Linked DNA regions of Canis lupus familiaris. The protein of the gene in region 1 interacts with the protein of each later gene in a pairwise test. Links are inferred from orthologs where the notes say so. Each region holds a gene or a part of one and is shown in the gene's direction. Other genes may lie near its edges.

Region 1 (3,747 bases):
CCTGCAGAGAAAAGACGTGGGAGTCATTCGTCTGGTGCTAAACTGCTTACGAATCCACCCCACCCCCACCCCCACCCCCGAGGAGGGCGGTTTACCTCCTTGCTTAGCAAGACCTCTCATCTCAGGAAGGAAGGAGGTTCGGTCAACACCTGACCCTTCACGCGGAGGGGCGTCGTCGTCTCCTAAGCAACCCAAACGCCCCGCCCCGCCCCACCCCACCAAGGAGTTCCCTTGGAGACGCCCACGAAGAAGCCGACTTTGGAGAAATCGGTGCTTTTCCCCTCCCCACCCCCACCCCCCACCCCCCGTGTTGGAGAACTAAGCCCAGATTGCGCTCCTCCTCCCCCGCCCCTTCCTCCATCCAGCTAAGGCCTTACTCCTGATTGCTTGCACGCGGCGGACTGCCCTTTCCTCCCGGGGTGGGCACGAGCGTCCGAGCCGCGGGGCCGGGGGAGGGGGAGGGGAGGGGGACGGGGGCCCGGCCGGGGCGGCCCGAGCGGCGAATGCCACCGAGTGGCCGCGCGGGGGCGCAGCGAGGGCCACCGATCGCAGCGAGGTCGGCGTCACCGCGCCGTCCTCCTGATAACGCGGGGCGTGTTTTGTTTCCCCCAGGACTAAATCCCGAGAGCTAGCGCGGCGGGGCGGCCACCGCGGGTCACGCAGCCCGGGACCGGGGCGCGGGGGGGCCCCGCCGCGGCAGTTCAACCGCTCCCGAAAGGCCTGGGCGGGGCGTCCCACAGCTCCTGGGCGCTGATTGGCCGCTCCTTGTCCCCGCCCCCTCGGCCTGCGCGGCCTCGGTCTCCTTTGACCCCGATTTCAAGCCATGCGCCGGGCCGCGGTTGGTCGGGCCGCCCCGGAGCTTGAGTTCAATCCACCCAATGAGGAGCGGGCTTCGCGGGGCCTGTCGGGAAGGCTGGCTGGTGTATATAAGCGGCCTGCGGGGCGTCCCCTTCGCGCCTGGGTCGCCGTGCGGGTCTCGGCGCGGAGCTCGCTGTGTGCGGGAGGGGCCGGCTTGCGCTCGCTCGGGCGGCACTTCAGGGACGATGGCGGAGGGAGATAATCGCAGCACCAACCTCCTGGTGAGTCGCGAGGGGAGCAGGCAGGGGCCTCCGGGCTTGGGCGGGGGCTCAGCCTGGCAGCGCTCTTGCGGCCTCGTTCCTCCCACCGTGGTGGGCCCGGCCCTCCTCCCCCTCGGCCCCGGGTGGGTGCAGCGGGGCGGTCCCGGACCGGGCGGCCCTTAACACCCCGTGGGGCAGCTACGGGGCGAGGTGAGGACGGCGCGTGACCAGCCCCCGCGGATCGGGGAGGAAGTGGGAGAAGGGGGGGCTGCGATGAGCCTGGGGCGCAGGCCTCCAGGGGCCTGTCTGTCGAGCGCTTTGAACCCCAGGCCCCCAGGCTCTTCTACGGGGTTCCCCTCCTCTTCCCTTCGTTCTTTAGCCCCAATACTTGGGCAGGGGTGGGGGGAGGGGGGAGGACGGGAGAGGGGCGGGGAGGGTCAAAGGGCCACTGGCGAGAATTTGCTGGAGCTGGCGCAGCTTAAACCCGCAGGGAGGCTGTGAACTCACCGCGGGGAACTGGGATTAGAGGTCCAGCTGGAAGGACAGTGGGGAAGGACCTTGGGTTTGCCTGGAGTTTGCAAGGGAGGGGTGTGTGTGTGTGTGTGAGAGAGAGAGAGACAGGTGGACTTTAGAATAAGCAGGGGTCTGAAGGAACTGCAGTGGTGTCTCACGGGCGGATAAATCTAACCTACTTGTTTTCACGGCGCGATCTAGGCAAAAAACGAGAGAAATCCTTGCCTTTTTCTTTTCTTTTTTTTTTGTCCGTTGCCACAACGAAACAGCATTTCATCCTTGACGTTGGATATTCCAAGAGCCCGGGTGCTAACGAGTTTGGTGACCTTGCAGGGCAGCCGTGATGGTGCCAGATTTTCGTTTTGCATTGGTGTTTAGAAATGCACGGCCTGTTCCTGTAACGCACATGCCAGCACACTTGTCTGTGGCTAGCCGAGTTAGCTCCGGCCAAGTTCCAGTTAAGGGGAATTGATCGAAGCACAAAGAAATTGTCCAGCAAATTCACACAGTTTGTTGAGGTGACCGAGCCTGGCCCGAAGCTCAGCTGCTCTTTCCAGCAGAAAGCAGTGTAACTTTAAGCAGAACAAGGCCCTTGGCTTTGGATTTCCTGGGTTCAGATCTCTTAACCTCCATGTATCTGTTACTTCATCTGTAAAATGAGGCGAGTAACAATACCATCCTTTGAATTCATTGGGAGGATTAATTAAAGTATAAGCATATAAAATACTTAGAGCTTCTGGCACATAGTAATCTTCTGTTTAACTATATTAAGCGTGGTGTATATAAAGTCAGGAATGTTGAAGTCCCCCAAGTAATCAGTGTGGCACAGATAGATAGCATCTCTAGTAAGATTAGGCTGTCCTGTCCTCTCTCTTTTGTATATTTCCCCATGATAACATTTATAAGGGCATGTGGGTTTCTTTCTAGTTTTTTTCCTGTACCAAAATCAGTATAGGGTTTTTGTTTTTGTTTTTTTGTGTTTTTTTTTGCCACATTAGCTCATTCCAGAAGTCTACTTTCAGCTAGGTTGTCAGTCTTGCAGAGAAATTTGAAGTCTAACCAAATGTTCTGGTAAGTGTAAGAAGCACTCATTGTATGGAGATACACTGAGCTTGAGATGCCTCATGTAATTTGGTGAAAGTAAGTTTTACTTAATTGTGCAAATGATGCCAGCATCTAAAGGATTCCATTACACAGCGCTATTTTAAAAATTGAATGCTGTTCAGAGAGAGGCTTTCTTAATGGATTTAGAAGTAGGAGTATAAATCAATGAGATGACAAAACAACAGATCAATCAATTCTAACCACCTGAAAAATGAGCACATTTGAAGTGATCTAATTTTATATTTTGGGTGCTGCCACTTAGTGCATGACTTTGAGAAAGCTGGTTACCCATCTAAGGTCACTTAGATGGACCTTATCCATAAGGTCTTATAAGGATAAGGTCTCTTATCCCTACTTTGAGGGCCTCTACTAGGATTGTTAACATTATGTATGAAGAGTAGCCCAGTGCTTGGACTTGGTGACTTGGTGACTGTTAAATGGTAGGTTGCCACCTCCCCCCCCCTTAATTGATTTCTGTCTTGCTACCAAAATTGCAGAATTATTTAGAAACTAAGATAGTGATTTGATTGAGGGCTCTTTTACATTCTTGGTGTCTTAAAAAAAATTAACTGAGAAGCACAGAAATGTTGGGAGTGGTAAAATGATCACTTTACATGTTGGTCTTGTGTAGGCTGCAGAGACTGCAAGTCTGGAAGAGCAGCTGCAGGGATGGGGAGAAGTGATGCTGATGGCTGATAAAGTCCTCAGATGGGAAAGAGCCTGGTTTCCACCTGCCATCATGGGTGTGGTTTCTTTGCTGTTTCTGTAAGTGAGCTATTAAATTATTGTGGATTGTGCTTGTTATTAATAAGGGCTCAGGTAACACACAGCCTCTTTTGTAACCTATAATCTGTAAAGAATGCCTTTTCTTGGAGCAGTTCTCCTAGTTTTCAGTAACCTAAACCAGTTGAATAAATGAGTGGCTCTCACACTTTTTGGCCTAAAGAACCTTTATATTCCTAAAAAGTATTGAGGACCCCAAGGGGCTTTTGTCTCTTGATGTTTACATTAACCATTGCAGCTATGATGTCATCATATTCTGAAGCTTCCCAGAAAACCACTTGTGAGAAAT
Region 2 (3,747 bases), on another chromosome or scaffold:
TTAAAAAAACAAATAAATAAAATCTTATTAAAAACATAGAATCAGGGCAGCCCCGGTGGCTCAGCGGTTTAGCACTGCTTTCACGTGGGGTGTGATCCTGGAGACCTGGGATCGAGTCCCATGTCGGGCTCCCAGCATGGAGCCTGCTTCTCTCTCTCTCTGTCTCTCATGAATAAATAAAATAAAATCTTAAAAACAACAACAACAACATAGAATCAGGGCAGCCCAGGTGGCTCGGTGGTGTAGCACCGCCTTCAGCCCAGGGCCTGATCCTGGAGACTCGGGATCGAGTCCCACGTCAGGCTCCCTGCATGGAGCCTGCTTCTCCCTCTGCCTGTGTCTCTGTCTCTTTGTCTCTCTGTCTCTCTCTGTGTGTCTCTCATGAATAAATAAAATCTTAAAAAATATATAGAATCACTGAGGAGAAGTTTCACTGTCACCACGAGTGGGCAAATGTCTACTCATCCATTGAATTAGAAGAGAAGCCTCCTCACATTCATATGTTTAGATTACATTTCCCAGACAATTCCAATACCCAGCTTTGGGGATCTACTTCTAGAGGGGCTAATGAGTCCCGACAAAGTCAGACTAAAATGAAGATCCTTTCCAGGCCCAAGGATCTAGAGCCCCAGGGATATAAAGAGAGCTTGCTTACTGCTGGAGCAGCAGGAGGTGAACAGGTAGCAAAATTCAACAAGTGCAGCAACAGGCAGGGACATGTCACTCAGCTCCGGGGTGTCCCAGGAGGAGGAGACAACCATGGAGGAGGCAGGTCAGAGGATGAGGGGAAGGTGATCCATCCCAGACCATGTTTACATACAGACTCACTTAATCCTCACTACATGTTATTTTTGAATCACGGATGAGGGCCAGATAGGCTAATTTGCTAGTTTGTCCCAGAGGTGGAACTTGAACTCAAGTCTCACCTTCTGAGCCAGGTGCTCTCCAGTGCACTACGGCTTGCAAGCTCCAAGAGGAGTCTTCATATTTTCAAAAAGCCTAATAATGCTAGGTTTTCATTAGGCACCCAATAAAGGGCTGTTGTCTGGACTATGGAAAAAAAACCCCACTGAGCTTGAGGACAATGAGGCGGTGGTACGGCACCGGATCTCTTTTCTTTCAGGGGAGAGCCTCTGACCGCGGGCTACAGATGGGGAACCCGCGGGTTGGGGGCGGGCGGGGGCGGGGAACTACAACTCCCAAGAGACCCTCAAGGGGCCACCGCACGCATGCGTAGGCCCCTCCCCTTGATCCGGTGGCTGCCCGGGCCGTTCTCGCGCACGCGCTGTCGGGTCAGGCGGCTTCCTACCCCGCTCCCCCGGCCGGAGTTGGCGGCCAGACCTCCCGCGACCCGGGCTGCGATGCTGCCCTTCTCTTTGCTCTGGGCCACTCGGGTAAGAATGGGGCTCCGGAGACCGGGGGCCAATAGAACGCGAGCTCCCCTCCGACCCCGGTTCCCATTCACCAGCCCCGGGGTGCCCCCGGCTTCGCGCACGTGGTTTTGGTCCCCCGGGACGGGCGTGCAGCTCGGCAGTGTTCGGGAAGCCGCGCCCGGTGCCCGGGGAGCGCTGGGGCCCCTCCGCGTCCCGGCGACCGGGCGCCCCGGGGCCTGCGACCGCCTCCTTCACGTGGCGTTGGGGGAGATGAGCGCTCAGATGCCCCGCGGACCCTGGGGAGCGAGCGGGGCCCCTGGACCGGGGGGCTGAGCCCGTCCAGCCAGCCCCGAGCCGTGCAGATGATGCAACCCGGCCCCGCTGCTTACATCAGGGGTTCCTTGGCGCTGCGGACTGACGGACGGGACGGGTCGGGGCACAGAGGGCGGGAAGTTGGTTTTGGCTTCCCTGCCTGAAGGCTCCCGCCACCACCAAACCCCTTCCCCCAGAGGTCGCTAAAGGTCCGCTCCGCCACCTCTTGCTCTGGAAACCACGTCTGCTGTCTGCAGCCTGAGTCCTTGCTAGCTCAGCTCCAACCCCCTGACTGCCACGGAGGCCCTGCAGGGGACCCTTTGGTACCTGTGGGTTGGGGAGGTTCTGGAACCTTGGTGGATTGCCCCTGAGCTCCAGAGACATAGGCCTTCTAGAGGACAAAGTTTACCCCGTGGCTTTGCAGAGTGGTTCATGGGTCGAGGTGGAGGGAAATTCTGAGGTGAAATAAATGGACCAAATCAGAACCACCCCCTGGACATTGATCTCAGCCTTGGCTCTAGAACTGGCTTTTTGAAGGTGGAGGCGGGGGTGGTAAGAATTGGAAAGGCTGGCTGGACCACTGGCTGTGAGGTTTGGAGCCAGAAAGCCTGATAAGCATGGCTGAGGGTTGTTGGGCGACTGTTTGGATGCTTTTTATCTGACCGTGGTGTTTCCTCTCCTAGCCTCTGCAGAGATGTGGGCGGCTGGTCAGGATGGCCGCCCGGTGCCAGCACAACGAGGTGGCCCAGACCCAGACCAGAGAAGTGGCGAGCAGGGGCTGGACAGGCCAGGAGAGTCTGTCAGACAGTGATCCTGAGATGTGGGAGCTGCTGCAGAGGGAGAAGGACAGGCAGTGTCGTGGCCTGGAGCTCATTGCCTCAGAGGTGGGGCTTGGGGAGAGGGCCCAGGCATAGGCCGCAGTGGGTGCAGGAGATAACAGGTCATCATACTGATGTTTCTCCAGATTTCCCTCTCGGACTCAGGGCCTTTCTGCTGGGCCTTATCTCCTTCTTTTCTTTACTGAAGAACAGGCAGGGCCAGTCTGGATTATGGGGTGGGGACATTAGAGAGCTTCCAAAGCTGTCCGGAGCCCTTCTAGTCTAGTCTGGCCCCTTCCCCTTCCCGAGAGGAAAGAGGGGCCTGGAAGCACCGGTTCGAGTGGACGGGTGGCCTTGCTGGGGACAACTATCACGGCAGCTAGGTGTCTCAGGATGCTTCCTCTGGCCTTTCTTCAGGCCCGACAAGGAATGCCGAATGAGCAAACAGCTCTCAGTGGAGCCCAGCTCCTTCCTCCCTGCAGCCTGGGGTTCTGGCAGGAAGGGGCTATGGGAGGCTCCAGGGAAGAGGGCTCAATACCTTCTGACATTACCCCCCACCCCCCTCACCCCAGAACTTCTGCAGCCGAGCTGCGCTGGAGGCCCTGGGGTCCTGTCTGAACAACAAGTACTCGGAGGGTTATCCTGGCAAGAGGTGAGGGCTAGGTACCAGAGGGCTGGGAGGCCATCCCTGACGGGCGTGCCCTCAGTATGGATAGAGGAGTGGCCTTCCCAGCCCTTTGCCGCTGGTTGCTGAGGATACTGGGACCCTCTCCAGGTGCCCTGATAAACCCCCATCTCATGGCAGATACTATGGAGGAGCCGAGGTAGTGGATGAGATTGAGCTGCTGTGTCAGCGCAGAGCCCTGGAGGCCTTTGACCTGGATCCTGCACAGTGGGGAGTCAATGTCCAGCCCTACTCAGGCTCTCCCGCTAATCTGGCTGCCTACACAGCCCTCCTGCAGCCTCATGACCGAATCATGGGGCTAGACTTGCCCGATGGGGGCCAGTGAGTACCGGGGTGGGTGAATGGGCTTGGTGGACAGGATGGGCATGGGACAAGAGTTGTTTCCGAACACCACCGTGTGCCACACAGATGGCGCATGCAGGTGTCTCCGTGCCCTGCATATCAGTGGATGAGGAAGAGAAGCCACCAGTAACCAGTGCTCACCGTGCAATAGACCTGGCATGTGGGTGGTGCATACCAGGGCCAGTGTTCTAGGGACAGAGGCGTCGGAGCTGGGCGG
Region 3 (3,647 bases), on another chromosome or scaffold:
TGGAGCACGGCCACGTAAATTTAGCCAGCCAGGAGAGGGCATTCCAATAACCAAACTGTGCCTAGCGGGTGTCCTGTTTTGTGAGTCCAGGGCCATGTAGTGTTCAGATCCTGCCTCCCTGGGAGCGGGGGTCACATCTTCCACTTCAGAATCCTGAGCTGGGTGTGTGCAGGCTCCCTCTTGCTTTTCACCAGCATGCCCTCCAGATGGCAGTAATAAGCAGAAAAGAAAACACTGGGAAATAATGAGTCTAATGTACAGTAAAATTGGAAATTGAATTATAGCTCAAGAAAAAGGACAGTAGCCTTGAGGTCCCGATCAACCTGGACTCTGATCACTTTTGTTTGCTGCACCCATGTGTTAGGTTACTAGCAAGTTAATAACCGCGCGTGAGCAGTTCAAGGCTCAGTAGAATTGCTTTAGACATGAAATAAAGCTAAAATGAATTTGTGTCCAATATCATTGGCATTAGTGCTCATTACTTTTGTGGTGTAATGCCTCGAACCATCTAAAATCAATTTTAAAGATTACCTATTATTTTATAAAGAAAATAAAACACATTTCCAACAGAAATAAAGCAGTGAGTATAATCCTATGAGCAGTTCCTTGTACCGTGGCTGGCAGGAAGACCACTGACAGGCAGACACAGGAAACTCTGCAAACGGCGAGCACAAGTTAATATTAATGGGTCGTTGCCATATAAATCCTCTCTTGAAGTATTTAAAACAAGAGTGGTAAACATTTGTAAATGTAGAAAATAAATCTCAAAAAGTAGTAAAAGGGATTTACTACTTTACTACTTGTACTTGGTAAATTAATCTTCATCATGTGATATGGTCATCTTCTGGGAGAAGCCAGGGCAGAGGACACGGAGGGGAGGGGAAGTACTTAGCTGCTTTGCTTGAGATTTTGCCCTTTTAAAAGGCACAAAGGTTTTACTTTTCCTTTTAGTAGGCCTGTAAAAATATTTTCCCAAGCTACATTGGTAAGCCTGTTGAAGCTAGATTTTTGGTTTTCATGCTCTACGTGTTTAGACTTTTGCCTTCTTGAAGAAAAGGACTCTGTTTTATTTTGGAGGAAAGGAAATCTTCTAATGACCTTGAGTTTTAAGCACATTGACATAAATGCCCAAAAAAGATATGCTTTCCTAATTATTTGTGTAAAAATGCAGAATATAAGGTAAGGTTCATTTGGTCTGACATACATGATCCGGTTTTCATAGAGCTCTCTATGCAAAATCCTGTGTTGGGCAAAATTATACTCCGGTTTTAGTGTTTTAGTTTTGTCCCCTCTATCTGGTCTCTGGTCTGAGTGCCTGGTATTATATAATTACTGAACTATTTATAGAGACTAAATTATTGTATATCAAGTTCTTTCCTAAAATGGTAAAACCAGTTTTAGTTTAAAAATAAGGGTGTACTTTGACTTAATTTCCTGTTTGAAGACATGAAGGTCAGAAAAAAAAATACCACATTCGGTGATAATATGATTTTGAGCCGGTACAGATTTGTTGGACTTGTTTTTAGCTTTCCCTGGAGTTCTGATGCACTCACTGGTTGAAATCTGTACTCTCTGTAAACTTTGACCTTGAATGTGGGAAGGCTAATAAGTACTTATCACAAAATTATCATATTTTAAGTGTATATATGGTAAAATTGGCTGGGAGTAATTTTATTTGGTGGCTTATTTTAACGACATAGAAACACAGTGCCACCGAAGATTATGGAGAAATTTTTAGTTAGTCTTAGGTATTCAAAAAAAAAAAGCCACTTCTCAGGTTAGCCCTTGTAAACATGTACCTAAGCATACTTGTAAAGTTTTAAAATATAAGACATGCTGAGAAATATATTGACTTTTTAATACAATTTTTAATAGTTGTTGAAAGTTTTGATGTTTCATGACAGCCTAGCCCATAAAGATCACAGAATAGACGTACTGGTTGGCAGTAAAAAAAATTTTTTTAAGGAAAATAAATTTCTAGGAGTATAAGCAAAATCTTTCCATAATTAATCCACATGGTCACAACAGATGGTTAAATTGAAGAAATGTCCTTGAAGTTATTCTTTTAACAGATGTTCTTAACTATTAGCTTCATGTTTTTACCCACCTAAATTTCCAAATAATTGAATAAAAGTTAACATATGCTTTCATCCTTTTAATAGGCAATGTCTTTAATTGATGCAAAGTTTGCCATAGTGAAGAGATTACTTCAGTGGCACATTTTTAGCGTTTCTCTCTGTCCTACCCTCTGTCCATCCCTGGTCACCGATCATTTCTCCTTTTTCCCTTTTACATAGGGTCCTACAGAACGCACTCCTGCTCTCGGATAGCTGCCTTCACCTCTTCTTGCAGAGCCACTTGAATTCAGAAGACATTGAGGCTTGCGTTTCTGGGCAGACCAAGTACTCTGTAGAAGACGCGATTCACAAGTTTGCCTTGATGAACAGACGTTTCCCTGAAGAAGATGAAGAAGGAAAAAAAGAAAACGATATAGATTATGATTCAGAAAGGTATTTCCTTGCATTTCGATGTAATGTATATGTGTTTGCATAATACAGAGTGCACATATGCATGTGTATAGATATATCTACACACTTCACTTTTTTGTTGATGTAATACTAAGATAATGAAAAAATTAATTGACTGAGATTTTATTGAGCTGTGACAGCTCATCATAGTAGTCTTCACACACACCTCCACACTGAATTAATGAATGCAGTAGAAATTCAATTATCTGCATTCTGATTATGTGACTTTCATTTAGTCAGACTTGAATTATTCGCGTTTAAATTATCTAGCTAAAAAAATATCCAACTGCACTCCAAATGGCTAATTAAAAGTCCAAATTTCCTGTCTCTCTTTGTGACTGGAGATAATTAAAGTTCTCCTCTGTTACTCAGGCTTTGAGTGTGTTGTGAAAACCAATTTCCTCTTTTTATTATTTTCCCCCTCTCTTCTTTTCCAGTTCATCCTCTGGGTTTGGACACAGTAGTGATGACAGCAGTTCACATGGATGTACGATGAGCACAGCTCCACAGGAATCCTGAAAAATAATTCTAATGTTACCATCTTAGGAATAGCAAATTATGTCCACTCATGGAGAAGAAAGCTTGCTAATATATCCTTACCTAGAGCTCACTGTCATGATATTAGGAATTTAAATTCTTAAAGACGCTGGGTTGTTTATTAGTGGTATTTTTATGTTGTGTCTTATTTTGGCTAAGCTCCTGTAAAAAGCTAAAGGCCTGTGAATGCAGTCTCCTTATAGGCAAACATTATTGGTAAAATAAGATCCTGCCCTGGAATGAAATGATATATGCATTTAGAAAAATCTCCTTGGTTTTTACTGAATTTTAAAAGATAGGTATATAGGTAGCCTGCATTTAAATTCCAGACAGCACATTCCTTCTTGCATCAGTGGGACAGTGTTAGCATCAATACAGCCTGTATGATCTTAACCACGATGGAAATTGACAGCATAGACCAGGCCGCCTCTCTCAGACATGTGGCTGATATTTTGTGGGCACCCACCCCCTGCACTGGGGAAAAACACTTAGCTTTGCGCTGTTTGATTGGAATATTTTAAGAAGTTTCACCTTTCCAGTATTTTATTTCACATTTAGATGGAAAGTGTATCTTATGCATAG

What was found.
Region 2: the proteins of ARL6IP1 (region 1) and SHMT2 interact in binary tests that used the Homo sapiens proteins (3 or more experiments, as listed by UniProt). The two-hybrid records come from large-scale screens. The link is inferred for Canis lupus familiaris from reciprocal best matches to the Homo sapiens genes ARL6IP1 and SHMT2.
Region 3: the proteins of ARL6IP1 (region 1) and SNX10 interact in binary tests that used the Homo sapiens proteins (3 or more experiments, as listed by UniProt). The two-hybrid records come from large-scale screens. The link is inferred for Canis lupus familiaris from reciprocal best matches to the Homo sapiens genes ARL6IP1 and SNX10.

The regions. Positions count from the first base shown.
Region 1 is NC_049227.1:26,551,718-26,555,464, forward strand, and holds the start of ARL6IP1 (ADP-ribosylation factor-like protein 6-interacting protein 1), read left to right. Parts: upstream 1-920; 5' UTR 921-1,043; coding exon 1,044-1,079; intron 1,080-3,306; coding exon 3,307-3,440; intron 3,441-3,747. UniProt on the Homo sapiens protein: Positively regulates SLC1A1/EAAC1-mediated glutamate transport by increasing its affinity for glutamate in a PKC activity-dependent manner.
Region 2 is NC_049231.1:1,710,045-1,713,791, forward strand, and holds the start of SHMT2 (serine hydroxymethyltransferase, mitochondrial), read left to right. Parts: upstream 1-1,258; 5' UTR 1,259-1,361; coding exon 1,362-1,394; intron 1,395-2,012; exon of another isoform or gene 2,013-2,128; intron 2,129-2,184; exon of another isoform or gene 2,185-2,276; intron 2,277-2,368; coding exon 2,369-2,569; intron 2,570-3,075; coding exon 3,076-3,155; intron 3,156-3,308; coding exon 3,309-3,509; intron 3,510-3,747. UniProt on the Homo sapiens protein: Catalyzes the cleavage of serine to glycine accompanied with the production of 5,10-methylenetetrahydrofolate, an essential intermediate for purine biosynthesis.
Region 3 is NC_049235.1:39,728,493-39,732,139, forward strand, and holds part of SNX10 (sorting nexin-10), read left to right. Parts: intron 1-1,848; exon of another isoform or gene 1,849-2,297; coding exon 2,298-2,510; intron 2,511-2,896; exon of another isoform or gene 2,897-2,965; coding exon 2,966-3,047; 3' UTR 3,048-3,647. UniProt on the Homo sapiens protein: Probable phosphoinositide-binding protein involved in protein sorting and membrane trafficking in endosomes. Plays a role in cilium biogenesis through regulation of the transport and the localization of proteins to the cilium.